2 linked regions of the Drosophila melanogaster genome follow. The protein of the gene in region 1 purifies or fractionates together with the protein of each later gene. This does not show direct contact. Each region holds a gene or a part of one and is shown on either strand. Other genes may lie near its edges. The genes, in order: Syx4 and Snap29.

Region 1 (9,613 bases):
TTTAAATTGGTGCGGATCAACCTTCTCATCCTTTTTAACCCATCGCCCTGCACTTGCAGCTTGCCTTAAAGGCTTTAAAAGCAATTTGTCTACAGTTGTGTTTGGCACGTGAAATATTTGGATATTTTCCTCCGCCAATTTGGGCATGGCAACCAAGCACGGGTATACCGAGAGATGCCAACCCGGTTTAATTCTGTTTAATCAGTATTAGGAATTCAATATATTTATTTGGAATGATCCGAATGGTTCATACTCAAACGAAACATTTCTAAAATTTAATGTTTAATGGCGTGCGAAGATAGATAAAAATATGAACTGAGAACTACAGGATATCGGCAGGTCTAAGCCATTTTTGCAAGAGTTCAATTATTTATCATATTTTTTGTAAATGTTGCCCTATTTTTTTTGTTTTTTTCTTTTTGACGAGTGCGAATTTAATCAAAAGTCAAAAAGCGCACACACTTGCCGACCCCACCGCCCCAGTTGATTTTCCCAAAGCTATCGCTTTTCCACCGCACCGCCAGCGCTTTCCATCAGTTTCCATTTCTCGTTTTGTGCGTGAGCCTCTGACCCAAATAAAAACAAACAAAAATAACAACAGAAGTGGTAACTAAGGTGGGGACAACGCACAAAAAGACTCATCAAAAACTCATAAATTTGCAATTTTCGACACATGACAAAATAAATTGTAAACAAAGGAAAGCGCGAAAGCCGAGAAAACTAACAAAAAACGGGCACAATAAACTTGACTGCCTATAACAATATCTCCGCTTTTCCGACCCCTTTGTTTATGGAAAAGCAATGGAAAAAGGTGAAAAGCGGGTGTTAAACGCAGGGAATATGAATATGTTGCTGTTTTGCCAACAATTTGCACTAAAAAAATAAGTGAATAGATAATAATAACCTGGAATACATTTTAGACTTACAGTCCGCAATGCAAATAAAGGCGGGAAAAACAAGAATTTCATCTTTTTGTATTCTCATTACCTAAACTCAATGAATCCCATGGATTGATAAAAATAAACTGCTTTGTATAGCCACTCCACCTAAATTGAGTTTTGCTTTGTTATGCAGTTTTTTTTTTTAACTTTACAGCACAAAAGTGACAATATCTTCATTGAGTCAGAGTTCTATACGATCGTTTGTAAATAAAAGCGGATTCACGACTTTCGAGCAATTGAATGCCTCTTAATAACGAGTTGGCAAGAAATCGTCGACTAATAAAATGATATTGGAACTCACAAAACCTTCCGAATGTATCTGATAAGCGATTGGCGGTTCGAATTCCACGACGGGGTCACAAAAAAAACATGACTTATATGACTCATTTTAAAAGCCAAACAAAAAAAAAATAAAGCAAAAATAAAGTAACAAGTTCAAGCTCAGAAACATCAGTTTATCTCAATCTCAATTAATTGGTATTTTGCAATAAAAAGTAAATGTTCATGTTTAAAGGGTGTATTAAAGGGTATTCGCGAATTCACATATTCCACATTGAATTTCCAAATCGATTTAAATGTTTTAACCTTATGGCGCTACATGCAGTTCAATTCAAAGTATCAGTATATCACGTATACGTATGCTTTTTATACAATCATTAGAGAGGGAAGAATTCGCGACACGATTCTTTTCTGCCGTCTTTTTAAATGGCATGGCAACTTGAGAAGAATTGCGAACCAAATGAGAAATGGAAATTCGCAACTGTCTGGTGTTGATGGTTTTATTTTTCTTGTTATTGTTGTTGACGTAGTTGAGGGCAGTTCATAAGCTTCGTTTTGCAACCGCAAGAATTGCTAATATAAAGCGGGTAGACCATCTAGCTACCCAGTAAGCAAAATAGCAATAAATTTATTATGGGAAACTTTCGAAGAAACAAGCAACTGAACTGTGCTTAAGAAGTATAATTTACACAAGCGTTTTGAAGGGATCAAGTTGTAAAAAGTGGTGAGTACAACGCTTGACAATGAATTTACACCCTTGACCTACATAGATGCGACCCGCTGATACCCTGTAAATGCATATGGTGGCACAGTACAAAGCCAGCAATAGAAAAAAGTTCAACTAATTAGCGCAAGTGACTTTTGAACGTTCTCGTCGCAGGTTTATTTCTCTTACTCGGTCTTTTATTTCAATTGAACGGCAACATGGAGCGTGAAAAGTGCGACAACAACAGCAAAAGGCGGCAGAGCAATGTAGAAATGTTTACCATACAACAGAGTAGAAATAATAATAAAAACAATTAACACATTTTTCTCCGCCGCCTAACCAGTTTTCATTTCGGTGGCAAAGACGATTTATTCATTTTATTCGGAGACAACAAAAAATGTAGATCGCCACTAACTACACATAATGTAGTACGAGTCTCTATCTTTATCTCTCTCCAGCTAAAGCACATGAACGTACATATCAAATACACCGAAGTTCATGAAATCGAATACCTTCGTATATTCAAATCACAATTCTATTGCTGCATTTAATGTACATTTTTGAATTTTTCATAACTAATTTGAATTTGGATTAGGCCCAATGAATTTATACCATAAAATGCCTATTATTTTGGCCCAGGCTGTAGCCAGAGTGTTTGCTGTCTTTAATCTTTTTGAATTGAAAGAAATCTCGACGCGACTGGGAGGCTCTGCGTTTTTGTGCCGGCGTCGATTTTTTAGTTCGAAAACGTATGCGGCGCGGTGAAGACAAAGGAATTGATTTTCAATAAATCGAATAAAATGTAGCCGAATGTATTTACATGTTAAATTTTAAAAATACATAAAGCTAGTTTTTCCCATAATCCAATTTTTTTCTTTTTTGTGTTTGTGTGTGTGTGCAACAAAAGAGCGAGTAAGAGAGCAAAGAGCCGCCAATAAATGGCAAATATGTGATAGGTGATAATCTGTGTTTAGGCCTTTCTGACTGTCCCTCTCTCTCTCTCTCTCTCTCTCCATGACTTTCCACCCCGCCCTGTCGCTTTCCGAAGGGCAGACGGTAAATATTAGGCGGCTCTTATCAGAAACTTGTGCGCTGATAAGCTTTGATAGCAGGTTTCGCTCTCTCCTGCGCTCTCAATCAAATTTTCCCATTCGCGAACAGCTGTTGGAGGCAACGGCAACAACAAACCAGGAACAAAGCTCAGAAGCTGCTGTAAAGGATATAAAGTGGACATTTTGGAGTACTGGAAAGGAATTCAAGGAATTGGCATAAATTTGGCATATAATTGGCATAATTCAAACCAAAGGCAGTCCAAGTTGCAGAAATGGGTAAAGATCGACTGCCCGAGCTTTTGCAGGTAAGAAAATATTAGAAACGTGGGTGGTTGGTTGGGAGGTTGGGATGAGGTAACTGCTAATTAGTTTGAAGCACAGTGGTTTGGCATCACTCAAACCGCAATACGAATAAAATCTACTTAACACGATGAAATACATTTGGTGGTATTTGCCAGGAAAAGGATTCCACTTTTCTCGGTAAAAAGTAATCCTAATCAAAGTTTTTTTTTTTTTTGCGGCACGTTGAAACACATTCTGACCAAGGTGCTGCCACCTTCTTTACAATTGGCCCAATCTCTCACATTTCTGTTGGCGCTTTTGGCACTATTTCGACTTGTGAGCCAAGGGGGTTTGGTGGGTGTTCGCTATGGCATTTATCAGATCGGCCAGAGATAACGACGATAATGTGGCCACACATCACACTTACGGGGCAACCCCGCGTTTCCGCCGACAAACTTTTAGCACCAAGTGAATTTCAGTACCGAAGTCATTTTTATAGTTCATTTACACCGCGCCAGATTGTGAACACACAAACGTAAATAAACTCAACCAAAGTTGTTAGTTTCAATTTAGTTTTTTCTCAGTTTTTCCCTGCAGTTCGTTAGGATCGCATGGACCTATTTTATTTTTATTTATTTATTTTTTTTTCTTCTCATTTTTGCTGTACTAATTCCAGCGCTCATTGAGCACGAACTCGTCGAACTCGTCGTCGAACGGTTCACTGCTTTTGAACGTGTACAGTGGAACCACGGAGTTCATCATTGGCAACACCGGCGGTAACAATAATAGCTACAGTGTCGTTAGCCAAAACTCTCACAGCTGCAGCAACAATAACAGCAGCACCGAACCCAAGGATCGGTCCAGTTCAAAGATGACGCAGTATGGCTCGAATGTGGATGACATACTCAATCCGGTGAGTTTAAGGATCGAAGTGTATACAAAACACAACTTCAGAATTCATACAAGTTTTTACTATTATTGAGTATTGAAATAGTTAATAGAAGAAACTTTAACTCCTAAGATAGCTATCTTGAAAGTTATAAATACTTAGCGAAGCAAGAACATACAACAGAAAGCAGCTAATATCTAGCATAGTTAAACGTTTCCCCTCAATGGAAATAAAAGATCAGAGAGCCGGAGAGAGGGAAACCCTTTTTTTCTTTTTTATGGCTTACCCACACATGTGTGCACTTATGAATCAGCTGTATTACTCAATCGCTGCCGGCGTAGCGCGAAAACTCGTGATAAGTCCAGAAAAAAAAAAAAACATTTTCTCATTAAATACGTTTTTTATTGTGGTTAAGAGAGCGGACGAAGAGAAGGCAAGTAGTCGCCATGTAAACGTAAACAACGGTAGACAACTCTTGCAAAGCAAAAAAGCAATACAAGCACTGCTTCCTCCTGAGCAAGGAAATGTACTGGAAATGCAATGGAAGTGAATATACGATTTTAATAGATTTTTACGGTATCCTTCCTTTTCAGTACACGGAGATTCGCCAACAACTCGCACAGATAGCCGCCAACTTGGAGACGATGAACCGCATGGCCCAAACTGTCAATCTGCGAACTTTCAACGGTAAGAATTTGAATCTAAAGTTGTGAATACTTCCACTGCATCACGGTCTAAATCCAATTCGCACAGAGAACGAGATGGATGAGCTTCACAACAAAAACCTGAGGCTGGGCAATCAGCTAATGACGCGATTCAACGACTTCAAGGCGAATCTGCCGGCGGAAAACGATTACAGCTTGGAGGCAAGGATGAAAAGAACCCTTTTCTATGGACTCCACCAGACTTTCATCAATCTGTGGCACAAAAACGAACTATTCCTGCAGAACTACGAGACCAAGGTCAAAAAGAATCTGAGACTGCATACAAAAATCAGTAAGTGTGATACAAAATGGACGAGTCTGATTAAATGCTTTGCAACTATTACATTATTTTGTTTAAGAACTTCGTTACAATCTACTTTTTAGTTAATTCTGAAGCCAGCGAACAAGAAATCGAGTTACTCATCGAGAACAAGACAACCAAACTCTTTGTGGATAATGTGAGTAAAGAAAGAATTATACAAACAACTAAGTCTTCTGTCTGATATGATTCCTTATCAAAGGTTTCATAAACATATATATTTTAATATGTTCGGCATTTAGTATGTAGTTTAAATGACATTTTATACAATCTAGGACTATTAGCTACTAAATATTACTCAGTAGAGCGCAACTCACCTCGATGTTGTATTCATTTTTCATTTCATTTGACTTTATCGCATCTATAATTTGCGAGACGATCATTTTCATATCACTTTAAGTAAAGCTTTACACAGAAAAAAAAAAAATTTGGGATTTTAATAGCTAATAGGATATAATCACTTTCGCAACTTTTTCAACACTGGAACACCATAAAAAAAATGAAAAAAAAAACACTGAAGCTCATTTGGTGTAACACCCACACACCTTCATACATACATACATATGTATGAAATTATTTTGCTCAAACGCAAAATTACCGCGAATTTAGGAAAAAAAATGCTTCGTATCACAATGCCTATACTCGCATTTACTCGAGTAACAGCACTAAACAACGGTAAATTCAATAAACTTAATTTCGCGGTGCGCAGTTAAAAAACACGTGCGTATGTCGATGCTCACGAAGAAGAAGGAAAGAGGAAGTTTAAACAGGGAATGATCAAGGGCCAACGGTAAATCAAACTCATACATACTCTCTCTGTTTCCCGCTGTTGTATTAACATCATCTATTAGTTAATGAGGCTGTTAAATAAGGCATTATGTTCTGCAATACAGATTATCACATACGTTGATTAATTATATTGGTTGAGTGGTTAGGCTATACATTTTTATATTGAATAGAATATATTTTCAAACTCAGTGGTTCACCATCAAAAAATATAAAAAAAGAAGTGGAAGCTAATTTACCGCAACACACACATTACATTACATACATGTGTAAATAGATGTTAGCACACACATTCTATACATACAAACATATTTCGCGCGCCATTGAAAACGCAAAATTACAGCGAATTTAGGAAGAAAAACGCGCAAATGCTTCGCATCACAATGCGCATACTCGCATTTACTCAAGTAACACTTTTCACCATCTAAAGATCGTTGAATTCAATAAACTTTATTTCGCGGCGCGCAGTTAAAAAACACGTGCGTATGTCGATGCTCGGGAAGAAGAAGGAATGAGGAAGATTTAAACAGGGAATGATCAAGGGCCAACGGTAAATCAAACTCATATGCACTCTCTCTGTTTGCCGCTGTTGTTTTAACATCATCTATTAGTTAATGAGGATGTTAAATAAAGCATTATGTTCTGCAATACAGATTATCACGTACATAGATTAATTACATTAGCCGTATAGCTAAGCTATACATATTTATATATATAATAGAAACTCAGTGGTTCACCATAAAAAAAAAGTGGAAGCTTATTTAGCGCAACACACACATTGTGTATGTTCATACATACATATGTAAATGCGGATTTTAGCGCGCACATTCTATACACACAAACATATTTCGCGCGCCATTGAAAACGCCAAATTACCGCGAACTTAGAAAGAAAAAGCGCGCAAATGCTTCGTATCACAATGCCGATACTTACATTTACATCTAAACCATGTTAAATACAACAAACCTCATTTCGCGACGCACAATTAAAAATCACGTGCGTATTTGGATGTGGCTGAGAAAAAGGGAAGAGGAAGACTTGAAGAGAAAACGATCAAGGACCAACGGTAAATCAATAAAATAAGATCTTCACCCGCCCTTTCTAACATTCTCTGTTAATTAACCTTCAATTTAACACAAAATGTAAAGATCAAAAGGTATTTGTATTGCAAATAGTAAATAAATGTAGACATTTGCTTAATCTTTATAATAACAATTTTTGTATTTTTAGTTTCTGCAGGAAACGGAAAAGGAGCGGCAGACACTGCGCGAAATGATGGATCGATTCAACGAGCTGCGCCGCCTGGAGAAGTCCATCGAGGAGGTGCACGCCCTGTTCATGCGCATCCAGACCCTGGTAATGGAGCAGAGCGAGGTGATCCAGCGGGTGGAGTTTCACGCCCAGCAGGCCACGCTCCACGTGGACAAGGGCGCCGACGAGCTGGACCAGGCGGAGCAGCACCAGAAGAAGGCGCGCAAGGTGGGCACACTGCGAATCCCCGAGAGCGTTGGGTTCTAAAAGGCATTTTCCCTTGTATTTGCAGAAAAAGATAATGCTCATCGTGATACTCGCAGCCGTGTTGCTAGTATTACTCCTTGTTGGTATTTATTTGTGATGCACGCGAGAAACTTTATTTTTTTGGCCTATTTTTAAAATTTATACGTAAGAAAATAAACTTTAAAACCTCAAGAAGAATTTTTGCAATTAATCAACAGGTAAAGGAAATCAATAAAAGCTTATGCTATTGAGAGCGTGCTCTATTCTGAGTCCCTTTAAATCATTAGTTTGTTTGTTTCGTGTGGATTTTGTATATTTTTATTAAATTTAATATGTAAATAAGATAACGGTTAGTTCAAAGGGTACGCATTTAGCTGGAAAGCAGCCAGGAAACGAAAGCTGCGGCTAGAACTAGCCATTGGCGGCTGTAAAACAACCGAGCGGGCATCGCTGCGGGTAAACAAAACAACTTAACAGCAACCACTTCGCGCCTAACAGCACACACTGCACTGTTGATACCACACTGTTGGCCAACATCAACATCCCTGGCGTCTCGTTAATAAGTTTTTTATATAGTCGTTTGGCACCGATTTTCCATGTCTGATTTGTAGGTGAGTGCACGTCGGAGCTTGGGAAAGCCTTCGAGATCATTTCTGGTCGGTAGTGGATTAGCCCGGGCGCGCGGTTCAGCGACAATACCAAGCAATCGGACGGTTCGGCGCCATTTTCCCACTTTTCCCGGAAGACTACGCAGTTTAATTGATATTGCCATTGATTGATCCTGTCTAGGAGGCAAGCGGATGTGGATTGGCCAACATGGAGGAACTGTCCAAGCAGCCGCCGCCACCCCCGCTGACGCAGCCGCCGCCGCCGTCGTCATCCGTGTCCATTGAGGAGCCGCTGCCAAATGGCAAGGGAGGAGGAGCAGTAGTTGTTAACTCGATAGCTAAGCTGCCCGAGGAGGAGCTCCTCGGCTCGGTGACCATGCACAATTGTCCGGGAACGCGGGCCAGTGCCCGGGTCATACAGAAGATGAAGCAGGACCAGACGCGCCCGATGACACCGCCGCCCAGCGAACGGGAGCCGAACAAAAAGGAGGAGAAGGCCGCCCAAAAGACGCCCAGCCAGCTGAAGACGGGCAGCGGGAAGACCACCTGGACGAATGTGGAGCGCAACTGCTTCTTCGACGCCCTCAACGAATTCGGCAAGGACTTCGAGGCGGTGGCCAACTGCATCAATGCCAAGCTGAAGCGCCGCAATGCCAACAGCGACTATAGTTTCAAAACCAAGGACCAAGTTCGCCAGCACTATTACCAGACCCATCACAAGATTTGCAAATATGTGCGCTTCTCGGAGGGTAAGAAGAAGGGTCAAACTGGATATGACATGTCCCGAAATGTTAAATTAACAAGCTATTGGCAAAATAATGCGTTAATAAGGTCACAGTTAGCTTGTTTCGGTTTCCCGGAAAAATAGATTTTCGGCGCCAAAAACCTCGTGCCTCGGTTAATTCCTAGAATTCAACTAGCGTTGCCATTTTGCCATTGGCCTTCATTTCATTTCGCAATTGCTGGACAATTTTGTAACTTTAATCAATCGTTTTAGAACTGAAAAAGCCCGCCCAGGAGTTGTACACGCTGATCAACTACGGCGAGATGCGGCGCAAGCTGCAGTTCCTCACGGAGAAGCACTTCATGAAGCTGAAGCAGCTGGTCTACCAGGGCCAAATAACCGTGCGTTGCAAGGGCAAGAACATTCGCATTAAGACGCCATCGTGCAAGGCGCTCCGGCGGCTAAATCAATTGGATGGTGAGTCCGCTTCCATTCGATATGTTTGCCCAATAATACCCAATGACAAACCGTAGACTCACTGGAGGATATCCGGCTGCCCAGCAAGGTGGAGGTGCTGGTGACTCCCGCCAATATGGAGGCCTTCGGACGCGTCCAGTCACTGGCGCAGAATCCACGCGGCAGGATCATAGTTCCGCTGCACAAGAAACTAATCAGCTTCATCAAGACGTTCGAGTACAAATGGCGCAGCGCCAATCAGCGTTTGCACGAGGAGAAGAGTGCATACTTTTCCAGCAGCCTGCCATCTGCTGCGTCCAACAACAATAACAACAACAATGAAACGGAACCATTACAGCCGTCAGTTGCA
Region 2 (5,802 bases), on another chromosome or scaffold:
CAAATCTTCCATTTTGTCATTGAAATCCTGTTCCTTTGCCTCCTTCTCCAGCTGAGCAGGCGTTTTGCGGACGTCTGACTTTGAGTTCTTTAACGAGAAGGCACGTGCCCATATATCGCGACTGGCCTCCTCATACTTGCTGATTCTCTTGTTCATGCTGATAATCTCGTCGCTGATCTCCTTGTTCGCCGGCTGCTTGGCCTGCGCCTGCAGGTAAGCGTTGCGGGCCAAGTTGTACTCGCCCAGAGCGGCCAGGGCGCGTCCCTCCTGGAAGAGCGCCTTGCAAGACGGATTGCCCATGGTCAGGTGCCGTAAGGCCTTCATCATGATGCAGGCGCGCTTCGGCTTGTTCATCTTGTTGTAAACGATCATCAGGTTTTGCTGAGAAAGGAGACAAGGAATCAACTGCCTGGTCGAGAACGCTGCCTCTGCAAGCTATTCTTGTTGGCCACTTACGTTCAGGGTAGTAAGCAGTTCAGTTTGCTTGCGCTCCTCCTCGTCATTGGCCATTCGGCAGTAGTTCAGTGAGCTCACTGCCCGTTCGAAGGCAGTTGCTGCACTCTGATAGCGTCCGAGCTTCACCGAGTCCTTGCCATGTAGGTGCAAGTCGACAGCCTTCGGATAGACCACACAAAACTTGTCGCGGTCTTCTTGGGGGATAGCATCGATGCCCTTCGCATCTCCTATGAGCGAGTAGTCAATTACCTCCACTTTAAAGAGCGCATCCGCCTTGGGCTTGATCCGCGGAGGGCAACCGAGTTCTCCGAAAAGCAGCTTGTAGGAGATTATAAACTCGGCCTGCTCGTAAGGACGCATGCTGCGGACGGCGACCTCCAGGCCTTCAACCACCGTTCCCTGGCCAGTTTCAAACACGAATTTGCTGCCCCGCAGCAGGGAGGAGTCGAAGGGAGCGGTCTCGCCCTCCCAGTAGCCACTGTACCGAACCGAGACCCTAGCCTTGTTCGGCACCGCCTCCCGATCCACGTGACCGGTGCGAGTGATCCGCTTGTAAATGTTTTCGTCGATCTCGCTCATCAGCGCACGCAGTTCGTCGAATGAATATGTCCACGGTGAACGTAGCTCCTCGCCGTCCACGTCCAGCGCATCCTCGTAGTCGCTGTCGCTGTCGCTGTCGAGACCCAGATCCCTGGCATGGTTCTGCTGCGAATTGTCGACCTCGAACTCAACGCCCTTTTTCACGAGATCCCTGCAGAATGAGTTGCACGTGGTCATGAGTGCCTTTAATATGTATCTTATTACTCACGAATAGGACAAGGGATTCTTGAGCAACTGTGGGGTGTACGGTTCGAAGTTTTCTTCCATTATCGCAAAATTTACAGAATATTTACGAAACGAATTCCGGAATGCGCTGAGTTGGCGCTATTCTTTTGGATGCGTTTGAGAAAAGAGCTTTCCAGCGATGGTATCAACTGGAATTCGATTGCTTGATAGCTTTAGCGAATCGATTGGTCGCTGTTGTCCGGAAGTTATCGAATTCAAACAAAGAACTATATATCTTTATTAGGGCGCGAGCACTGCAACTCGAGATATCTTCCGAAAATGTATAATGTATTCCAATCCAGACGGGGAAACACTAGGCCAGATATACTTGCTTTTTATATGAATCTTTATTTAAAACTGAACACTTATCGCTCTCCAACTACGAGCACTCCATTGAGAGAATTGTTTTGGTGTGTGTAACAATAAAAAACTAGGAAACATAATGAGGAATGCATTCTTAATGGCCTTGTGAAGTGCTCACCGTGCGATATGGTATGGCTAAGATTTGTATATTAAGGGAGGGCTATTCTAAGCAATGATCAATACAATAGTATGCGAATGCTCGCTTGTTCACTTCTTCAGAAGCTTGCTCATGTCCTTGTTCTGCTTGTGAATCTTCAAGTCGACATCCTCAATTTTGTAGTTCATGTTATCCAGCAATTCATTTTGCGACTCAATTTCGCCACCCAGATCGGTGGCCAGCATCTTCAGCACCGACAGGTTGCTGCACATCTCCTCCAGATTGGAATCGATCTGGGCCTGGAAGGGATTGGCCGCCTGTCGCTGGGGCTGGTAGGTGCTGCTGGGATCACCACGCAGCTGGCTAACCGGATGATTGTCGTAGCGCTCCGCTGGTGATAGCGGAGCCGAGGGGCTAGCACCGCCACAGGCACCCTGGTTAATGTTGCTATTGGCCTCCTGGGAGGACTGACTGCCCGTGGGCGAACCAGTCGCGGTGGGTGGTTGGTCCCTGTTGCCCGAAAGGTAGTTCTTGAGGCCGCCGAAGACACTCTTCAGACCAGTCAGATGGCGCTGGCTGAAGCGCAGCGTGGAGCTGATCTCGTCCAACTGATGTGATGTCTTCTCCAGTTGCTCCCGCTGCTTGGCCAGCTCCACGGCCGTCGCCTTACCCACCTCCTGGGTTTCGTAGAGCAGACCTGGGGGTTGTAGGAGAGAGACGCATCAATAACGCCCCTTAATTGGCTGGCAATTGACCCCATGTTTACCCAAGCTTTTGTTGGTAGAGTCCAGAGTTCGCTGCTCAATGGCCCTTCGCTTCTCAGCATAGGCCAGTCGCTGTGCGGCCACTGATGGCGACGAGGTTATCTCCTCTTCGTCATCGTCATCCATCTCGAAGGGATTGGTGCTCCTCTGCTGCGGAAGCTTGGCTGCTCCCGTCCGTTTGTTCTGCAGGAATAGGTCGTCGTCCACGTCCTCGAATCTGTCCACGTCATCGAAGTGATCGTGCACTGGCTGCAGGTAGTTATGGGCCATTTCTTGTGGCGAGGGAAACTTCCAAAATGTCGAATTTTGTTATGTTTTCGTAAACTTTTATTTTCTTTGTTGTTGTCTGGAGTTATCGATTGCAATAGCGATGGTACAAATGTAGTATTTGTATGCAGTTCAATCGACTTATAAATAGCTTGACATTGCAGAGGCTTCAATAAAATAAGTTATTATAATTAAAATGATTTTGAAGATACGATAAAAATTGAATTTGTATGTAAGAAAACTTGAAGCTTGATCTAATAAATAAAAAATCGTGTAACGAGCGAATACCGACCGAATCCCCCTACCGATGATCTAGCGGGGAATAAAGCGGCTTGCCATCTCCGATGGATATCGAACCAGCACTTCTGTCAATTTTCCAGCAGGCGTCGCAGTTTCTGTAACTTTTTGGAACTGACCAAGACGGAAGCTTTAGTTTAATTTAAGAAACTGTCGCAGCCGAACGTCACAGGTTTCAGGACACGAATCGGCGGAGCAAAGCACCAAAACATCACCACATGCATAGCACATCGTACTTTGTGGCCGCGACATGCGCGGCGCTGCTTCTGCTGGCGGCGACGGCGCAGTCGACGGCAGCAGCGCAGTCAGGACTGCAGCCAGGTGGCAAGTTAATCGAGTTGGACGAGGACAACTGGCACCTGATGCTCCAGGGCGAATGGATGATCGAGTTGTGAGTGCGAAAGGGTGGCTCTGAGTAGTCCCTACCCACATGAAACCCCGCTGCCCCTGACGTAACATAAAGGGGCGTGGTGCGCCGGCTTTCTCCAGCCGGCAAGCTGGTTCTTTCGTTCTCCGAAATACCAGACATTCCTTTGCGGCGACGATGACTCATCGGCAGCTGTGTTAAACATATGTTTCTCCCTCCATTCACAGCTTTGCTCCATGGTGCCCGGCCTGCAAGAACCTGGCTCCCACCTGGGAGCGGTTTGCCCGCGTGGCCAAGGATGTCCAGGTGCAGGTGGCCAAAATCGACGTGACAACCTCGCCCTCGCTGAGTGGACGCTTCTTTGTCACCGCCCTCCCCACCATCTACCAGTGAGCACCACATAGACCTTTTCAACCCATGAAATACACATCGTCGTAATCCACGTCAATCATTTCCAGCGTAAAAGATGGCGAGTTCCGGCAGTATCGTGGGGCCCGTGATGGCGACGCCCTCCTCTACTTCGTGAAGAAGCAGCAGTGGCAGAGCATCGAACCGCTGTCCGCCTGGAAGAAGCCCGACACCACCCACATGTCCGTGCTGTCCTACTTCTTCAAGCTTTCGCACACTCTGAAGGTACGTTCACCTAGCCCATTATCGCATCGGTTCACTGCATGAGACATAAGCGGAAGCTTATCAGCGGGTTGATCCCGTTGACCCACAAAAGATTGCCGCCCATCACTCATTACTCTGGTCTTTGCTCTCTGCTGTTGTCTTGTATGTTGGGTTCATGTACTAATAGCATACGCAAAAACTCTTTAAGGACTTCAACGGGCGCCTGCAGGAGGAATACGGACTGCCCACGTGGGGCTCCTACGCCCTCTTCGCCATCGCCACCATCTTCGTGGGCGCTGCCCTGGGGCTGCTGCTCGTGTGCCTTGTGGACTTTGTCTACCCACCCAAGAAGTCGCAGCGCCAGAGCTTCTCCGAGTCCCAGGACAATCTGACCGAGGGCCTGGAGGATTTGGCAACCGAGGAGATCGAGGATGATGGCGACGCCGAGGAGAACGATGACGAGCAACGCGATAGCGACGAGGAAGAACAGGAGGACGACGACGAAGAGGAAGAGGACAGCGAGGAGCAGGTGGGCGATCTGGCCACTAAAGAGAAGGAGGCCGACAGCGAGCCGGAAAAGGAAGAGAAGCCGGAGCCCAAGCAGGCCGGCGATGCTGCGCCCGAGAAGACGGAACAGGTGCGCAAGCGCAAGCCTCGCAAAGGCGATTAGGTGCAGCGGGGTCCCTGCGGATCTTCAGCCTTAGCGATCATCAGAAGCGGCAACAAAAAGACTAACACACTGAATCGAGAGGAACACAACCTCTTACCCAAGCATCATTCGAGCGGACATAATCCGTCTGCTCTGCCTTCGCGCACAAAACCGATTGTTTTCCCTCCTTCTAATCCTAGCCAGAAAACGGCGCCCCATGTATTTCATAATTATGTAAAGCAAAATTGCAATCCATTAAGCGATAGCAAGCGTAACAATAACTAAATGTAACTTTAGTCGTATATTTTTACCTTTTGCCAAGCATTTTTGTATTTTGTGTTCAACTTGGTTTCCACACAATTCATTTCTCTTAAGCATTTCATTTGTAATTGTACTTCAATCGCAAATTGTATTAAATTTTCGTATTACAAAATAATAAAAAAAAACATACAATTTAAACTGGCTTTGTTTACTTTGCGCTTCTAAATAATTTGGATCCCAAAGAAATTTCACATATGCACGTATGTATATTTGAAATGGAAAATCCATTAGTTTCATTCACAGTTAACACCACATAAACAACATGAACATTAATGGTTTTACAAATTTATTATCAGTTTATTGTAGGAGAATATGAAATAAGACAAAATCCCTGCAATTTCGTGTGTGTAAAACTACAAATAATTGTTATAAGATGTGTGTGAGTGGTGCTGGTCCAAAATGGTTCAAATTTTCCAATACATGTGGCTGTTTTCCAAACGCAAAGAAATGGGTAACTGAAACTGTTGCTTAAAATAGTTAGCTCGTTGAGGCGTACAAAAATTCATGCCTACTATCTTATAAAAAGAGTACAAAAGAATGATTATACAAATACATATCTGTAATCTGTATCAAATGTGATTCATCTTCAGCGTTGCTTGCCTGATCTGTTGGCACTTGTGATTGAAATCGGAATTAACTGGATTAATTACAACATTTTGATTGTTCAACAAATAATAGTTCTTTCAACAAATTGCTATGGCTATTGTTGGATTCATTTCGGGGGTTGCGGGGATAAGGTACTTGTGGTGTGTGTGTATATATAATTTCTATATTTAAATATATA

What was found.
Region 2: the proteins of Syx4 (region 1) and Snap29 purify together in Drosophila melanogaster (affinity purification with mass spectrometry; 2 studies listed by BioGRID). This does not show direct contact.

The regions. Positions count from the first base shown.
Region 1 is NC_004354.4:2,737,121-2,746,733, reverse strand, and holds Syx4 (syntaxin 4), read left to right. Parts: upstream 1-2,657; 5' UTR 2,658-3,250; coding exon 3,251-3,283; intron 3,284-3,775; exon of another isoform or gene 3,776-3,817; intron 3,818-3,936; coding exon 3,937-4,173; intron 4,174-4,742; coding exon 4,743-4,836; intron 4,837-4,902; coding exon 4,903-5,145; intron 5,146-5,237; coding exon 5,238-5,311; intron 5,312-5,489; exon of another isoform or gene 5,490-5,577; intron 5,578-5,729; exon of another isoform or gene 5,730-5,929; intron 5,930-6,262; exon of another isoform or gene 6,263-6,350; intron 6,351-7,188; coding exon 7,189-7,437; intron 7,438-7,501; coding exon 7,502-7,573; 3' UTR 7,574-7,645; downstream 7,646-9,613. Other genes in the region: crm (cramped), read left to right, coding at 8,272-8,812, 9,061-9,264, 9,321-9,613. UniProt on the Drosophila melanogaster protein: Potentially involved in docking of synaptic vesicles at presynaptic active zones.
Region 2 is NT_033778.4:23,841,872-23,847,673, forward strand, and holds Snap29 (Synaptosomal-associated protein 29kDa), read right to left. Parts: upstream 2,893-5,802; 5' UTR 2,776-2,892; coding exon 2,508-2,775; intron 2,439-2,507; coding exon 1,852-2,438; 3' UTR 1,612-1,851; downstream 1-1,611. Other genes in the region: shu (shutdown), read right to left, coding at 1-381, 457-1,207, 1,265-1,323; CG5554 (uncharacterized protein), read left to right, coding at 3,288-3,460, 3,664-3,825, 3,895-4,069, 4,236-4,718.